2 linked regions of the Alligator mississippiensis genome follow. The protein of the gene in region 1 interacts with the protein of each later gene in a pairwise test. Links are inferred from orthologs where the notes say so. Each region holds a gene or a part of one and is shown in the gene's direction. Other genes may lie near its edges.

What was found.
Region 2: the proteins of UBE2K (region 1) and RNF125 interact in a two-hybrid assay, tested with the Homo sapiens proteins (2 studies listed by BioGRID and IntAct). The link is inferred for Alligator mississippiensis from reciprocal best matches to the Homo sapiens genes UBE2K and RNF125.

What each region holds. Positions count from the first base shown.
Region 1 is NC_081825.1:50,895,635-50,903,540, forward strand, and holds the start of UBE2K (ubiquitin-conjugating enzyme E2 K), read left to right. Parts: upstream 1-4,842; 5' UTR 4,843-4,945; coding exon 4,946-5,008; intron 5,009-7,906. UniProt on the Homo sapiens protein: Accepts ubiquitin from the E1 complex and catalyzes its covalent attachment to other proteins. In vitro, in the presence or in the absence of BRCA1-BARD1 E3 ubiquitin-protein ligase complex, catalyzes the synthesis of 'Lys-48'-linked polyubiquitin chains.
Region 2 is NC_081826.1:81,059,004-81,066,648, reverse strand, and holds the start of RNF125 (E3 ubiquitin-protein ligase RNF125), read left to right. Parts: upstream 1-4,643; 5' UTR 4,644-4,658; coding exon 4,659-4,813; intron 4,814-7,645. UniProt on the Homo sapiens protein: E3 ubiquitin-protein ligase that mediates ubiquitination and subsequent proteasomal degradation of target proteins, such as RIGI, MAVS/IPS1, IFIH1/MDA5, JAK1 and p53/TP53.

The sequences.
Region 1 (7,906 bases):
ACTGTAATGTTTTTGCTTGCTACTGAACAAAGTCTGTAGATTAGAAGTACAGCTTCTCACCATTGTGGGTTAACAGAAAAATACCTTTTTCTGTTAAAATTGAATACTAATTTAGTTTGTTTATAGGCTTGACAATAGCTCTCCTTTAGAATACAGGCAGTCGTCAGACTTAGGACACAATTGATTCCTGAAAACCGTGTCTTAAGTCAAAACGTTGTAACTCAGAACCAATTTTCTCATAAGAAACAATGTTATAAATGGGGGATCAGTTCCTGAATCAAGGCCCGATACCCTATTTTCACTAAAAATACCTCAGAATTTTGTACTCGATCAATTATAGATGAGTAATATAGCTACATTAATGTATTTATATTGTAAATAGCAATCATATTGATTTGGAAAGACTTCTTTGAGGTGACTTTGCTGGACTTTTTGAAAGGCTCTCGGTTGGACTTTTTGAAGGGTTTTTGGCTGGAGTCTTCTCAGGAGTCTAGGCTGCAGGTTTTTCTAGAGTCTTGTCTGATTTCTTAAAGGAAGTGTCCAAGGAAGTTTGGACAGATGTTCTCCAGGGAGATGGGCGACACAGCGACTTGTTCGCTGCCATGGTGTCACATCAGATCAAGCGTTGTAAAGTCGAAACTGATGTCAGAAAGTTGAAACAGGGTGTCAATTTATAAATGTTGTAAGTGCGAAACGTTGTAACTCAAAACGTTGTAAGTCAAGGACTGTCTGTACCTCAGCACCTTACAAACTTTATCTTTACAAAACTTCTATCTGGTGGAAAACCATTATCTTCCCCATTATACCCCTGTGGAACTGACGTACAGAGATGCTAGGGCCCAGAGACCTGTAGTTGTTTAAGCATGTAACTTCCAGTTAAGTCAACAGGATAGTGGTTTTCAACATTTTTAGACTCAAGGCACTGCTTTGAACATTCAATCCTTTTTGACTATGAAAAAATAATGGAATAATTCTTTTGCTGAAAAAAACTCAGAAAGAACACAACAGTTCTGAATGTTTTTGACACTATGGAGTCCTATTTGAAATCTCTCAGTTTATTTTGTGCATTGTGTAGGTGTTTGTACACCTTACAGTACTAATACCAGTATTGTGCAGCACCTCATCCTTAAAAAGATCTTACAACACTCTGCTTGATAATTACAGCAATAGTAGCTGGATGCTGGAATATCTCTGAAGATGTAGGCCTCATTTTTTTGCCCAAGATCACACAAAGCCTGAGAAAAAGGAAGCAAATCTAGATCTTGTGACTGATAGGGTCTTTTAACCACAAGATTAGGCCTCCCTTTGTAAGTGTTATATATTGTGTCAAAAGCAAATTTGATACTAAAAAATTAATTGTACAAATGGATACAGCTAAGAACATGCATGGGACAATGTTATCCCAGGGAAAGAGACCACACATTAGTTATGTTGTGGAGGAAGAGTGCTCACCAAAATAAAAAGTACAGCTTTATTTTGTTGTCAGCAGTTTTGTTAACAGAGCCTGTATCATTGTTGTTTTGTGCAGCACTAAGCACATTGTATGAAGGGCTGGAAACAAACAAACAACAGTATGCATACATTGCAGCCATGCTACAGCTGAGTTCAACTACAAGCCACTGGAATCAGTTCTAAAGAATCCATTCCCTATAGCATTTATTGAGACTACACGGATGGCTTCCCAAACTGGCCAGATACAACATTCACAGCATTACATAAGAATTACCTTTTACTGGATCAGACCATAGGTCAAAGGAGAGAAATTATTTGGGTTGGAGGGCCACTTAGGGAGTTTTGGTGAGCTGTTGTGGACCCATTCAGCAACCCCCACTGCTGTGCCAGGTTGGCACCCTCACTCCCCCAACCTGCAACAGCTCACCAGAACTCCCTAAGTGGTAGGTTACTAGACTGGCCTGGGACCCCTGTGGGCAGGGTGCACTCACCCGGGTGGATGAGATGGGACTGTGGGCAGGCAGGGAGCGGCATCCAGAGTGGGATGGGTGGATAGGGATGGGGCCAGGATGGAAAATTGGTGACAGTGCAGGGCTAGGGCCGGGCACAGGGCCAAGCCATGATCCACTCCCCACACAATGGATCATGATTGGCCCTGCCCAGGAGGGGGACAGAGCACACACCCATGACCCAGCCCCGACCCCAGCACAGTTGTGCATGGCTAGCCCCAGTACAGTGTGGCTGTGGAGCGGCACAGCCCAGCAATGTGGGGTAGCCTGATTTGGTCATGATTTATCAGGGCTGCTTTACAGCCACATTATACTTTGGCTGTCTGCATGTGCTGTGATGGGGCAGGGGCAGCAGGGGCCAGGTCACGGGTATGCACTCCACCCCACTCTTGGGCTGGGCTGGTCATGATCCATTGTGCGGAGAGTATATCTTTGCTCAGGCCCTGGCTCCGTGCTGTCACCATCCTGCAATTTTGGTCCCGGCCCTGCCTACCCATCCTGCCCGATTGCTGTTTCCTGCCAGTGGCCCCATCCCATTCCATCCTATCCCATCCCATCCACCTGACCGAGCGCACCCTGCCCATGGGGGTGTATAGAGCTGCCGCTGCCAAAGTTACAGGAAAGCAGAGTCTGGCTGCTGCGCTACCCCAGCCCTGCTGTGTGCCTAGGGGCAGCAGGACCAGGTGTATATGCCACGGCCTGGGCTGCACCCCCCTACCCTGTGTCTGGGCCGGACAGGGCCAAGGGACCTGCTTCAGGCCAGATAAAATCCCTTGGCAGGCTGGATCCAGTCCATAGGCCATATTTTGCCCACCCCTGCCAGAGGTCCATCTTGCCCAGTATCCTATGTCACACAGCTAGCGATCTACCTGACCAGGAAAGGGGCTCTGGCTGGGAGGATCCCTGGGGACTTTGTGGCCATTTTCCTATCCATGAGCTGTTCACAAATCTGGGCAGGGTTTCACTGGGCAGTGTCTACTGGCTCCTTGGACTCATTCAGAGGCCAGTGGGCAGTATCCAGTATGCTCTGCTTTGTGTCCTCCCTTGGTGCACTCTTTTTAAACCTTTGACTTTCATTCCCATTCCTGTTTTCTTCTTTATTTGTCCTCTGTAATCACTTGGTGTGTACTTAATGGCCCCCCATACTAAGTGGGGCTTTTAGTTTTACTTGGTGGGCACTGGCTCACATTCCCAATGCACATAAAATCATAGAAAATTGGTGTTGGAAGGGACCTCAGAAGGTCACATCTAGTCCAACCCCCTGCTCGAAGCAGGACCACCCCCCAACTATATCATCCTAGCTGAGGCTTTATCTACTCAGGACTTAAAAACCTTTAAGGATGGAGATTCCACAACCTCTCTGGCTAACCTGTTCCAGTGCTTTACCACACACCTAGTGAGAAATTTTTTCCTAATATCTAACCTGAACTTCCCTTGCTGCAACTTGAGACCATTGCTCCTTGTCCTGTCATCTGCCACCACTGAGAGCAGTCTAGCTCCATCCTCTTTGGAACAACCCCCCTTTAAGTAATTGAAGGCCATTATGAAATCCCCTGTCTTTTTTTCTAGACTATATAAAACCCAGTTTTCTCAGCCTCTCCTCAGAAACCATGTACCCCAGCCCGGCAAGTATTTCTGTTGCATTCTGCTGGACTCTGCAATTTGTCCACATCCTTTTTGTAGCAGGGGGCCCAAAACTGAACACAGTACTCCAGGTGGTACACCTCAGTGGTGCCAAATAGAGGGGAATAATCACTGCCCTTGATCTGCTGGCAATGCTGCTACTAATACAGCCCAGTTTGCTGTTAGCCTTCCTGGCAACAAGGGCACACTGCTCGCTCATATTCAGTTTAATGTCCACTGTAACCCTGAGGTCCTGTTCACATCAAAGAGGCCTATATCACACAGTAGCAGAGATCAGATGCTGAAAGGGCGAGCAAACCGGGTATGACCAGGGTTTTTCTTCACACCATTTCTGTCCCACTTGCAGTCTCTAGCACTTAAGGTCAAGGAAGTGCAGATTCAAGGTCTGTCACTACTGCCCAGGGCAATCCCTGACTGTGGTTTCCTATACAACCAGCTCTCACCGCTCTTCTGTGAAACTGCTTTGAGTTGCTTTGCTTTTCAGCAACCAGGCAGAACCCACTTCTGAAGGTGTCCTTCCATGTTACTCGTGCTCCTGAACCGTAGCGGCCTGCCTTTCTGTCACCACTGCTGCCTCATGCTCCTTGACCAGCGTATTCATGGGGCCCTCTGACTTAAGAGTCCCTCATCCCTCTCTCCTGGTGCAGTGGCTCTGTAGTACTGTACAAGAGAACAGGAGCCGGGCCAGCATGCGCAGTCCTCCCTGGGGTGCAAGGCAGCAGAAGGGACAGTTGCTGCCACAGCCTCCCCACAGCTGCCAGCCCCCAAGTCCCCCCGCGCCCTCAGGCTGGGGGGCACGAGAGAGCCGGGCTCTTCTGCAAAGGGTCCTCAAGGGAAGGCCCTTCATAATCACCCCCGCCCAGGGGCTCTGGGGAGACCGCTCCGGCCCCGGGGCTTCACCCCGCGCCTCATCACCCGCCGCAGCCGCCTCTTCCTTCCCGCCGCCGCAGCCGCCCGGGGCGCGGAGGGGAGGCCGGGCCGGGGGCGCTAGCTGGACGCAACAGCGCGGCCGGGGGCGATATCACACCGGTGCCATCACAACCTGGCCCCAGCCCCGGCGGTGCGGTCCTCGCGGACAGACGGCAGAAGCTCGGTGGCCTCGCACAGGGCTCGGGGAGTGGGAGCAGGAGCCGGAGCTGGAGCCGGAGCTGGAGCGGGCCGGGCCCGCACCCACGGCCCCTCCTGAGTGGCGGGCGCTACAGCGCGCATGCTCGGCGCCGCCGCCATTTTGGTGGGGCCGGGACTTATCCGGCGGCGGCGGCGGCGGCGGAGCTCGCGGGGCCCGACTCGGCTCGGCTTGGCTCGGCGGCAGCGGGTGCGGGGCGGTGTCCGCTGCGGACATGGCCAACATCGCGGTGCAGAGGATCAAGCGGGAGTTCAAGGAGGTGCTGAAGAGCGAGGAGGTCAGAGCACCCCCCCCCCGGCTCCTTGCGTGCGCCTGCGCGGGGGGCGGCTGCCACTGCCCCCGGGTCGGCCCGGCCCGGCCCCCTGTCTCTGGGGCCCTCGGGGCTGGGCCGCGCTGGCCCCACCGCTCTCAGCCTGGCCAGGCCCCGGGTTGCCTTGCCCCCCGGGCCTCAGCCCCTGAGGGCCCCGCTCGGCCCTTCCCGGGGTGACAGTGTCCTGCGTTGCCCGGCTGGGGACGCGTTAGGAAACTTTGGGGACCTGGGTAGGAGCCTCCCTGGTGTCCCCACGGGCGGGCGGACCCGGCCCAGGGAGCGCGGAGGAACCCAACCCTGGTCCTGGACGCCGTCCGTCCCCCGCCTGGGAGGCGCCGGGGTTGACCTGCCTTTGAATTGAGCCTGCTAAGGCTGTGCAGCTCCCAGCAGCCTTTTGAAGGCATCCGAAGGCCCAGTTGTACAGCCTCCCTGCAGCCCGCCCTTTGATTTCCCTGGGGGAGCTGGCTTGGGGCTACCTAGGAAGCATGTCTGGGTGGGTGGCTACCTGCCACATACTGAAAGGAGAGTCCCTTCAAGGTTTTGCTTTCTTTGGACCAGCCCTGATGGTGTTAATGAGAAAACACTGTTGAAAAGTTTTAAATACTTTCTCCCTTGCATTAGAGAAAGGGAAACTGTAGTGTAGGCCACAACGTGTTCAGGTATGAGAGGCACATTCAGGTCTGTGTAGTTTTTCTTATAAAGAGGCTTGGGTCTAGTGAGCAAGTTTTTCTTCATTCTTGTTAGCATATGCACTGGGCACTCTAGTGCACTGAAAATACGCAAGTCTTCAAGACGCTCATCTCATGTGACCGAATCCTGTGTATTGGCGTGGCTGTGAGTCTTGCGGAATTTCTGCCTCTGAATTAAGCATGGAAGATGCACGACACATGTCGGTACTGAGCCAAATATGAGTCGTTGTCTACCAATCTATACATAATCGCTGCTTACAGGTTACGCATTAGGCTGGCATTTTGAATAAGCGAGTTGTGTAGGTTGTTATGGATGTTTAGAATAGTGACATTGCATTCTGATTACTGAGGGATATCTTGGTGTGACTTCTTTTTTGTGTTTTTTTTTTTGGTAAACAGTTCGTGTTCTAGAACATGAAAATGTGAATTGGTGAATGGTGGGATGACTTCTGACCAGTCAAAGGAGGCTGGAAAACTTTCTTTTAAACAGCTTTAGGGATTGACAGCCTAAATTTCAGACTAGGTTACCTATCAAGAAAGAGTAGTTGGGGAAAAAAAATCATGTGAAGAAATATTAATTGTTAAAAACTATAGTCTTTCTTTAAAAAATTCTGATATTTATTTACACTTACTAGATTTTATGCTCCGAGTAGCGTGTTAACCTGAAAACTGGCCACCTTAGTCTGTTTTTCCAGAGATACCACAACGTTGGCTTGGCATCCCATTGTGATGTGGAAATAAACACTGTACATGCAAAATTTGCCAGTCTGGTCTCGGAACATAGGTATATCCTTCAGTTTCTTCTTCAACTGAAGAATTTACAATACGTTGTTGGCCCAGTTTTCACTTTTAAGTTTAGCAAAAGGAAGATTTGTAAATTACAAAAGCATAACTAGGAAACGCACACAATCCTAAATACCTTCTGTTTCTTTGTCTAGAAATGTCCTTTGAGTCTGTCTTTAAAATAACCTAATTTGTGTGAAAAGACCTTAAATAATTTTCCCAAACCATGATTTTTGTGCTGCTTGCCTTATTTAAAGTGTAAGAGCTCACAGCTAACTGAAGGAGTAGGATGTTGAATTTTGAACAAAGACATTCTTTTAATCTAGTTTCCCTTAAGTATTGGAACTAAATAGATGTGCCCAAAATGTTTTTTAAACAGTAGGAATAAATGTACTTTCTCTTCTAGCCCTTCCTATACAAGTAACTAAAATGTAGATTGTTAACAAAGCGACCAAGTTTTAAGATGTTAGTGTAGGCAAGGCATATGTTGCCTTTAACATGCAATATGATGTTAAATAAAGTCTTTGACCCCCCCCCCGCTTGATGTGTGTTAAAAGTAATGCACTTTGTCTACTCTTTAAAATGCACAAGCATGCTAACTCATATAATACTCTAAATCCTAGTCTAGACAAGGCATCAGTTGCTCAGATTTCAGCCTATTCTCTTGTGGTGTCATTTCACTAGTTTTTCATCATGTTGGTCTTCAAGGGTAGACTAATTAAGCTTCTAATCTGGAGAGAATATATACATTTTTTGGATTAAAGCATTTTAAATTGTCTTTAAACACAGGGAAGTAGGGGAACAAAGAGTACAGGCCCTGTTCTCATCTCCTAAATGGGCCTGAGGGGCAACACAGGTAGAAGAGCACTTAACACTTTATTTTGCTGTAGGCTGTGGGACCACTGCCACAGGTAACTGAACAGAAGGTAGGGATTCATCTATACAATGATAGCTTATTGGACGGAGAAATCATGGTGGTTGCTTGATATAGTGGTCCTTGAGAACTGGATTTAGTTCAGCAGGTGTTGAGCATCGTACAATTTTAAAAAAACATTTTCAGTGTTATATATGGTATTGTAAAGTTACAAGATATTACCAGAACCAAATTAAATAAAGGCAGCAAAATGAAAACAGATTAAAGTGGGGCTGGAGATTAAAAGACTAGTCTTCTGGAGGAGTGGAACTTCCTTACTCAGTGCAAGGGATAGTTACAGGAGCTGGCTTATTGCATTCATGACAGAATTTACTTTCCTTATTGGTTTCATAGATTTCTAGGGTTGGAGGGACCTGGCAGATCATCGGGTCTGACCCCCTGCTCCAGGCAGGAAAGAGCGCTGGGGTTAAGTAACTCCAGCCAGATGCCTATTCAATCTCTTCTTGAACACCTTCAAGG
Region 2 (7,645 bases), on another chromosome or scaffold:
AGAGAAGGACTTCTATGAAGCAGGGCAGACTGGATGCCAGTGGCATGACTGGGGAGGCTTGGCTAGAACCCAAGTGGAATGTCCATTGCAGGCCCACAGATATACAGAGCCTGGCTTTCCATAGAGCTTGGCCTACATAATCAAGGAAGAGTGCAACACTGCTTGCTAATCTGATGCTTGTCAGATGTGAACACAATAGCAGAGGGTGCCAGACAACAAGGAGCAAACTTCTATACTATGAGACAGAGATGACAGAAAGGGGATACTTGGCAAGAAAGGTTGAAGGGAAACCTACATCTTGAAGAAAACAGCTGCTTTTGTAATGTCTCGCTTTCCTCCACAGGATTCTAGATGTCATTCCTTTCACTTACCCATCATAAAACCCAGAAAGTGCTTCCATATCCTGCAATGGAATGGAATTACTTACTGCTTACAATACATATCAGCAATATATTGTGTCTGGGACTGTTCTCTGCTCCTAAGGAATGTGAACAGGTCATAATCACTGTTTCCAAGAAAAACACCAACTTTCTATCTATCGATCAAGTTCTTCTTTATCTATTATAATGAGATCTGAAATAGAGCTATTCCATGGGGAGGAAAGGGGAATATCTTTTATATTAGAAAGTTATCACCTACACTTTTTTAAACCTCTATACATTTTACTACTAGCTGTATGAGACTTCCATTTTATCTCTCCAGTGATAAAGCAATTTTTTGTTCCACACATTACAGATAGATGCTTAATTCCTTGTTAATATGTATTTTTAATAAAGTGAGATTTAATGGATTTCATACTTTATTCATGTTCAAATTGTCAGAGTGTGGTTAATCTTTAAGAATAGTCTAATTTACCAGGAAGGCTCTAGTCAGTCACGGATTGCTTTTTCTTGCATTGTCTTTGGAGATAATTGAACAGATAAACACTCCATTGGCTAATGGTACTGTTATCATGTTGCATCACTGAAGTTCGGGCTCATTGCCAAAGCGCCGTAGTGTCGTAGTGTCGCTGGGCATGAACCTTGATGGCAACACTACTGTGCAATAGTAACAAGCTACTGCGCAGAAGCATCTAAAAATAACTGCGCGGATACAGGACTGTGCAGTAACACTGGTACTAAATGACTGCAAAGTAACAATTGTGGAGTCGGCGGTTCGTGTAGATGCAGCCTCTGTGTAGCTTCAGACAGAAGGTGACTATTACAGTGCCTTGCCACCTGTGTATTTTGAGCAGACAGCTACTTTAGGAATGGCTGCAGACACACAACATGTACCCCGGAGTATTTAACCTCAATGTAGTTTTACCCATTATTTTTCCCTGAGTAATTCTACACCGAACTGAAGTGAGCTACACCAGCTCAGGTTTGTGCATCATAAGTTTACTTCTTAAAATGACAGAAATACACTGTGTGTCCGAGCCTCCCTCTCCTGTAAATCCACTGAGTTGTAATTTCCATGTGAGGCACACCTGCACTCCATGAGAGGATTGGCAGGAACAATAAAACTTTTTTTCTTATTCCTGCATTCGTCCATCCCCTAAAACTTCCTCTAACTTCATTATATATTTTGAGTACAATGAATGAAGGATTACATCCTGCATCCAGCAACAAAGACACTGACATTCTCTGTGTTCTTCTCATAAATAATATTACTTTTATTTGCCACATGCATTTCTAAAGTCTTTTGTATCAGTGTTGGATAAAACTATGCCAAATATACTTTTTCCCTTTTTGTTTCTTATTAAAGAGCAGGTTGCATTTTTTTATGCAAAGATACTGAACTACAGAAAATACTTATCCAAATTCATGATGATATTGACAAACTCAAAATATGTTAAGCAAATTAGGCTCCTTTTAATATGAAAAAAGAACAACAAATGGTACACTGTGCTAGAACCAGGTAGGAAAACAATCAGAAATTCCACTGACATAGGGAGGAAATGGAAGATAACTTCAGATTTCTTTACGATTTCTTACAGATTTCTGTTGCCCTTGTTTATAACCTGTTTCCTGATTTCCTTTGAATAACTAATTTCAAAACTCTGCCCCACCTTCTTTTCACGTAACGAAAGGGCTGTTTTAAAAACTATCTTTCAAAAGAAGGAGTTAAAAAAAATCTTTTATTTATAAAGTAATGTTGCAAATCATTACTAAACTGTATCCTAAGACAATGCTGCATAAATATACTGACCTTTCACCAGTACAGAAGTTATTTTATTTTACAGACCATTAATCAGTGAAACAACAATGTAACTATATCTGATAACCTACAATCTTCCTCCAAACTCATTGAGATTTGGAAACTAGCAAAAAGCAGATATACCAGGATGACTAACAGACTGCAAAATATTTACAGATTTAAAAAAAATAGTAAGAAAGTGTAAGCAAGCATAAACTGGTGAAATATTATTTTTCTTTACTCTTCTTACATGAGGATTCATTCCAGGATTCTTTTGCCCAGCCCATTTTAAAGAGAACTTTAAAAAAATTTAAAAAATTAAGTTCCCATTTTTATTTATTTTTATCGTACTTAGAAAACTAAAGGCTGTTCTTAAAAACAAACAAACAAACAATGCATTTCTTACAGTAGAAAATCATGTCTTGTTTATCTAGGAAGACTCTATGGAGAGGTAGTGAAGCAATGATTTTGAAAATAAAATGAAACCTGAGCTGTTGAGAGTGGAAAGGTCTTTATTCAGATCACTTGTAACAGTATTCTTTGTTAACTTTTGGAAGAACTTTTTATGTACTTTGGAAAAAAAGATATCTTTGTGAAAGATCCAACACTACAGGCATATTTAGTGAAGGTAGGAGAATTATATCCCTGACACACACATAAGCAATCCTCCATTGAAATTAGGGAAAGACCAGACCTGTGATACATGACAGTCAAAAGACAAACAAATAAGCAACAACAGCTTCCTTACATAAAAGCTAACTGAACTTTACTGTCCTCCCTTATATATCAAAAAGATACAAATAAGAAGGTTCGCAAACCCAGTTTTCCAAAATCCTTTACAGGTCACCCATGAGAGGTTTCTCTGGGTTATTATAACAAACCAACTTGTAAAAGTAATTACATGTAGGTATTCTGTTTACAGTATAATCTGCTGTGAGGCAAACAGCTCTGCTAATGCCAATATTTGTTTGATATTTTGGATTCCAGCCTGCTGGATTTTAAAAATCAGTCTTATCCAAAAGTTTTGACCCTTTCATGTATTAAAGGGTCTGTGAACTAGCATGACTAATAGAAAAGGGTTTTTTAAATATCTAAATACAAGTGTCTTCTCAGATGAGTGCCTTCTCAGATGCATCTGCACTCCAGTGCAGCTGCCCCAATGGCTGCATGAGGCAGAAGTGGGAGGAAAGGGAGGGATGTAATTTGTATTTCTTCTGTGCTTCCAGAAGTTAATCTGCTGCATAGCTGTCTGCTTCTGAAACAATGAACCTTTTGACACTAAGGACAAATTTTAAGAAATTGCGGTTCCTCCTACATTAGCAGCATCAAGGTCCCTGGCATAGCTAATCTGTTGCTTGTTGCTTCCATTTTAAGCACACCAGGCACATCTATACGAGACGCTTTACTGCACATTACAATGTCACTGCCTATACGTGCATGGGATTTACTGTGCAGTAAATTAGGCTAATGCACCATTAGCTAATAGCAGGAAATAGAGGTACTAAATTAACAGTGCATTACCTACTGTGCAGTAGCACACCGAGTCTGACCAGGCGCAATTTGCTCCCTGTCAGCCCAGGCTGCCTGGTGAAGCCCTGATGTAGGGGAAGCTGTGCCCACTGCAGGGGAAGCCGTCTCCCTGCCAAGTGGGGATCTGGATGGGTCCTGATCCCCATGTGCCCGGAAGAGGTGTGCTGGCAGCAGGGGCAGCAGTCTTTCCAGCCATGTGGGGATCGGGACCTGTCTGGATCCCTATGTGGCATGGACGCAACTCTTCCAACTGGGCAGAGATCAGGACCTGCTCCCGTACCCCGGGGGGCAGAGGGAGCTGTCCCAGCTCAGGGGCTGCTCCCTCACAGCTGTGGGGAGATCAGTTTGTGCCCTATGTATCTATACAGGCCACACACACACACACACACACACACACACACACACACACACTTTGGTTATGACATATATATATATGCTACATATACATAAAGCACAAGTTTTCATGGGTTGAAGCTTCCTTCACCAGACGCCTTCTCCTCGACTTCAGGCTATCCCAGCTACCTCGGTCTGTCACGCCACCCCGGGCATCAGCACTGTGACTGAGAGAGGCCTGCTCAGAAGCACATCTAACCTAAAGAGGAAATGCGAAGGGGAGCCTTGGGCATCTGAAGTGAGGGTCCTTGTTAGCTCGGGTGCTCTGCTGGGCACGGCTCTCCTGTGCAGAGTGTCACCTGGTACAAGTATCCCCACCTAAATAGCTCAGGGGAAGCGCAGGGAGGAGCAGGGCCTTGGGAAGCACAGGCAATAAGCAGCAGGGTCGGGTCCTGCCCCAGCTCAGGGGAGCGCAGAGAGCAGCAGGGCCCTGCAGGGCTGGGGGCAGGGAGCGGGGCGGCCGGCAGGGCTCGGGTTTCAGGCGGAGGACGCTGCAGGGCCGGGCCAGCCCAGAGTGACCTGGGCGGTGCGGAGGGGCGAGCGGGCAGGCGGCGGCCATGGGCTCCGCGCTGCGCAGCGAGGCGGCGGCCGGCGCCCCCCAGCCCCCGCGGGGCCCGGGCGGAGCTGCCGAGCCGCGGCCGCCGTCGTCCTTCGACTGCTCCATCTGCCTGGAGGTGCTGCACCAGCCCGTGCGGACGCAGTGCGGACACGTGTGAGTGCGGCCGGGCCCCGCCGCGCCGCGGAGCGGGGCAGGGAGGGCGGCAGGGAGGTTGAAGCACGGTGCCTGCGTCGCAGGGCTTTCAGCCTGCTCCCCCGGGAACAGCAGCGTTTCTCCGCCCGTGAAGGGCAGCTCTGCAGGGGCAGAGGATCGCACGGCTCCCTGCCCTGCCCGCTGTGCCACGGAGGAAAAGCAAAGATCCGGGGCTCCTCCTGCCAGCTAACCCCAGCCAGGGACAGGCACTTAAAAGAACCAGGTAACCTTTGAGGCTTAAAAACAAAGGAGCTAGAGCAGCTGGCAGGGCAGGGGTCCCAAGGTGCCCCCTCTCCCTTGCCTGCCCATGTTTCCGTAGTGTTTTCAGATCTTTGGGGGCAAAGGGCTGGAGTGGAGTGAGGAGTGTCCTCTGTATGGACATGGACAGTCCCTCCCCTCTGCTGAGCAAAGGCTGGAAATTTTGGCTCTGCTTGAGTTTGTCAACATGAACTGGGGTGGAAAAAAAACCCCAAAGCTGTATTGCAGAGGTTGCCAAACTTTTTCTTATTGCCTACCCCCTTCCAGATTTACTAGCTGCCCATGTAACCCTAACAGCATAGGTTTTGTGTTTTAATCCTTTAAATGCCAATCATTCTTATCATGACAAATCCGCCATTACACAATTTCTCCAGTGTACCCCCCAGAGATGTGTTGCATACCCCAGGGGCACATGCACCACAGTTTAGGAACCCCTGCTCTATAAAGGAAAATGCACGCAAGGATTATAGAGATAAGCACAAGGCCTTTACGCCAATCCATCCTCTTTCTATAGCCCTCATTAAGGTTCATTTGTTACCTCTGGAGTCATTCTGGCATAGCTATTTCAGATGGACACAGAGTCTGGACACCATTCTTCATGAATAAGAGTGCCTCCATTTGGCTTAGCCTACTGTGCTTGGAAAGTGGATTAAGTAAACAAGTATACTTATGGCACTCTTGCTCCAGAAGGTTTATGTAGCTGAAGGCTCCGGTTTAAATAAATAGACTGTTCAACCAGGAAGCCTACTTAGATGGATGAGAGATGATGAATATCGTTATTCATATGGTTGTCTAGATTGGATACTTGTACCATTTTATTTGGTTTTGTGTAACAAGTGGATATTTGTATTGTAACATTTTATTTGGCTTTGTATAACATTGTGTGTGGTTTTGTGTCATTTCTCCTTACTGTTTTCTGATAGGCTCATTATTTAGTAATCCGCATGTAAATAATGACTTCATCTTCACAGTTTGTAAAGACTATAATACTATTTTTATGCAGGAACACATTTAATGTAGTGCATTTTTTTTAAATATATTCTGTTACTACCAGTTTCACTCTTAAATAAAGACAGCTGGCTAAAATGTTTTTAAAATAGTCATTCCAGAATACAGACAAATAGAATGATGTTTTTAAACCCTCCTCCTCCTAAAAAATGCAGCAAAACCATGAAAAAAAATAAAACCAGAAGAACAACAACAACAACTTTTTTCCACTCCTCCTGGGGGCAGGAGAAAGGGGCAGAACAGGTCTGGAAGGACAGAAGGTGGAAATAGAGGCATAACAGGCCCTGGACTCTAGGTAGTGCAGCTACTTGTGGTGGTGGAGCCAACTGGCAGCTGCAGCAGCTGCTGTTTTTGTATCCCCCCTCTCCCCCCAGTTATGCTACTAGATGGAAATCTAACATAAATTACACAGATTGATCCTTTTAAAGCCATTAACTTCAATAATTATCTCCCAGATCTGATTGACACAAGTCATTTAGATTGCCAGTGAGTAGTTTTAGGGTTTGCTTTCATTGCAATGTTAATCTGAGTCATGCCTCAATTGCTGCCCCTAACTTGAGACCTAAAACTTTATCTCAGGTATGGATCAGGGTTACCTTAATAGCAGCCTAAGGAAAAAAGAATAAACCTGTGGGGAGTACTCACATGAGTCTCTTTACAACTGTGTATTTTATGCAGACAGCCCTGTGTGGCAGCACAAATCAACCTGCAAGATGGTGAAAGCAAGTATTTAGGTAAAAAGAGGTATGGGGGGAGAGGGTGGCATTATAGGCTTGATTGTTTTGGCTCTCCTCGGCTTCCTAAGGATTGGTCAGATCAGTAGCCACCCCCAGAATCTGTATACCATAAAAGGAGGCATATAGCCAGTTTTGCTGCTCCCTTCTCCAAGTGAATGGTGTGTGGCTTCAATGAAGCTCAAAATGCAAAGCTCTACTGTCCTTGTATCTGAGCAGCTTTGTTTGCACTGTTTACTCCAGCAAGCACAGGGAATACATTGCACTGGTGAATTGTGACACGCTTGTTGCAGGACAGGCATGCAAGTAAATCATCCCTTTCTGGTTTCATTCCTTCCATGCCATTCCCATGGTCTTAAAAAATAATGTGTTATATAAAGCTAGGACTTGAAAAAAATTACCAGATATTTCAATCAATTGTCCAGATCATATATTGCTTTTTCTTTTTTGGGGAGGGCATGGGGGAGGGGGCTTTCAACAAAGTTCAGGAACAATATCCTGAGAAGTTTAGCTTTCTTTTTTTTCAGCTCCACACTGGCTGTTCTTAAGTAAACCAGTTCCTTACTTACATTTCTGTTGAACAAATAATGTTGAATGGCAAATTGTTTTAAGGTTAGAACCTCAGATATACACCAGTGTTTGTTATAGCTGAAAACCTATCCAAACTTTTTATAGGGAGTGGTGGGGACAAGATACAGAGCAGTATAGGAATATTATCTAATATACCTTGATATAAAGCCTTTCATCCTTTCCCTTGGTGATGATTTAGCAGGTAGGGCAAACAAAAGGGTCA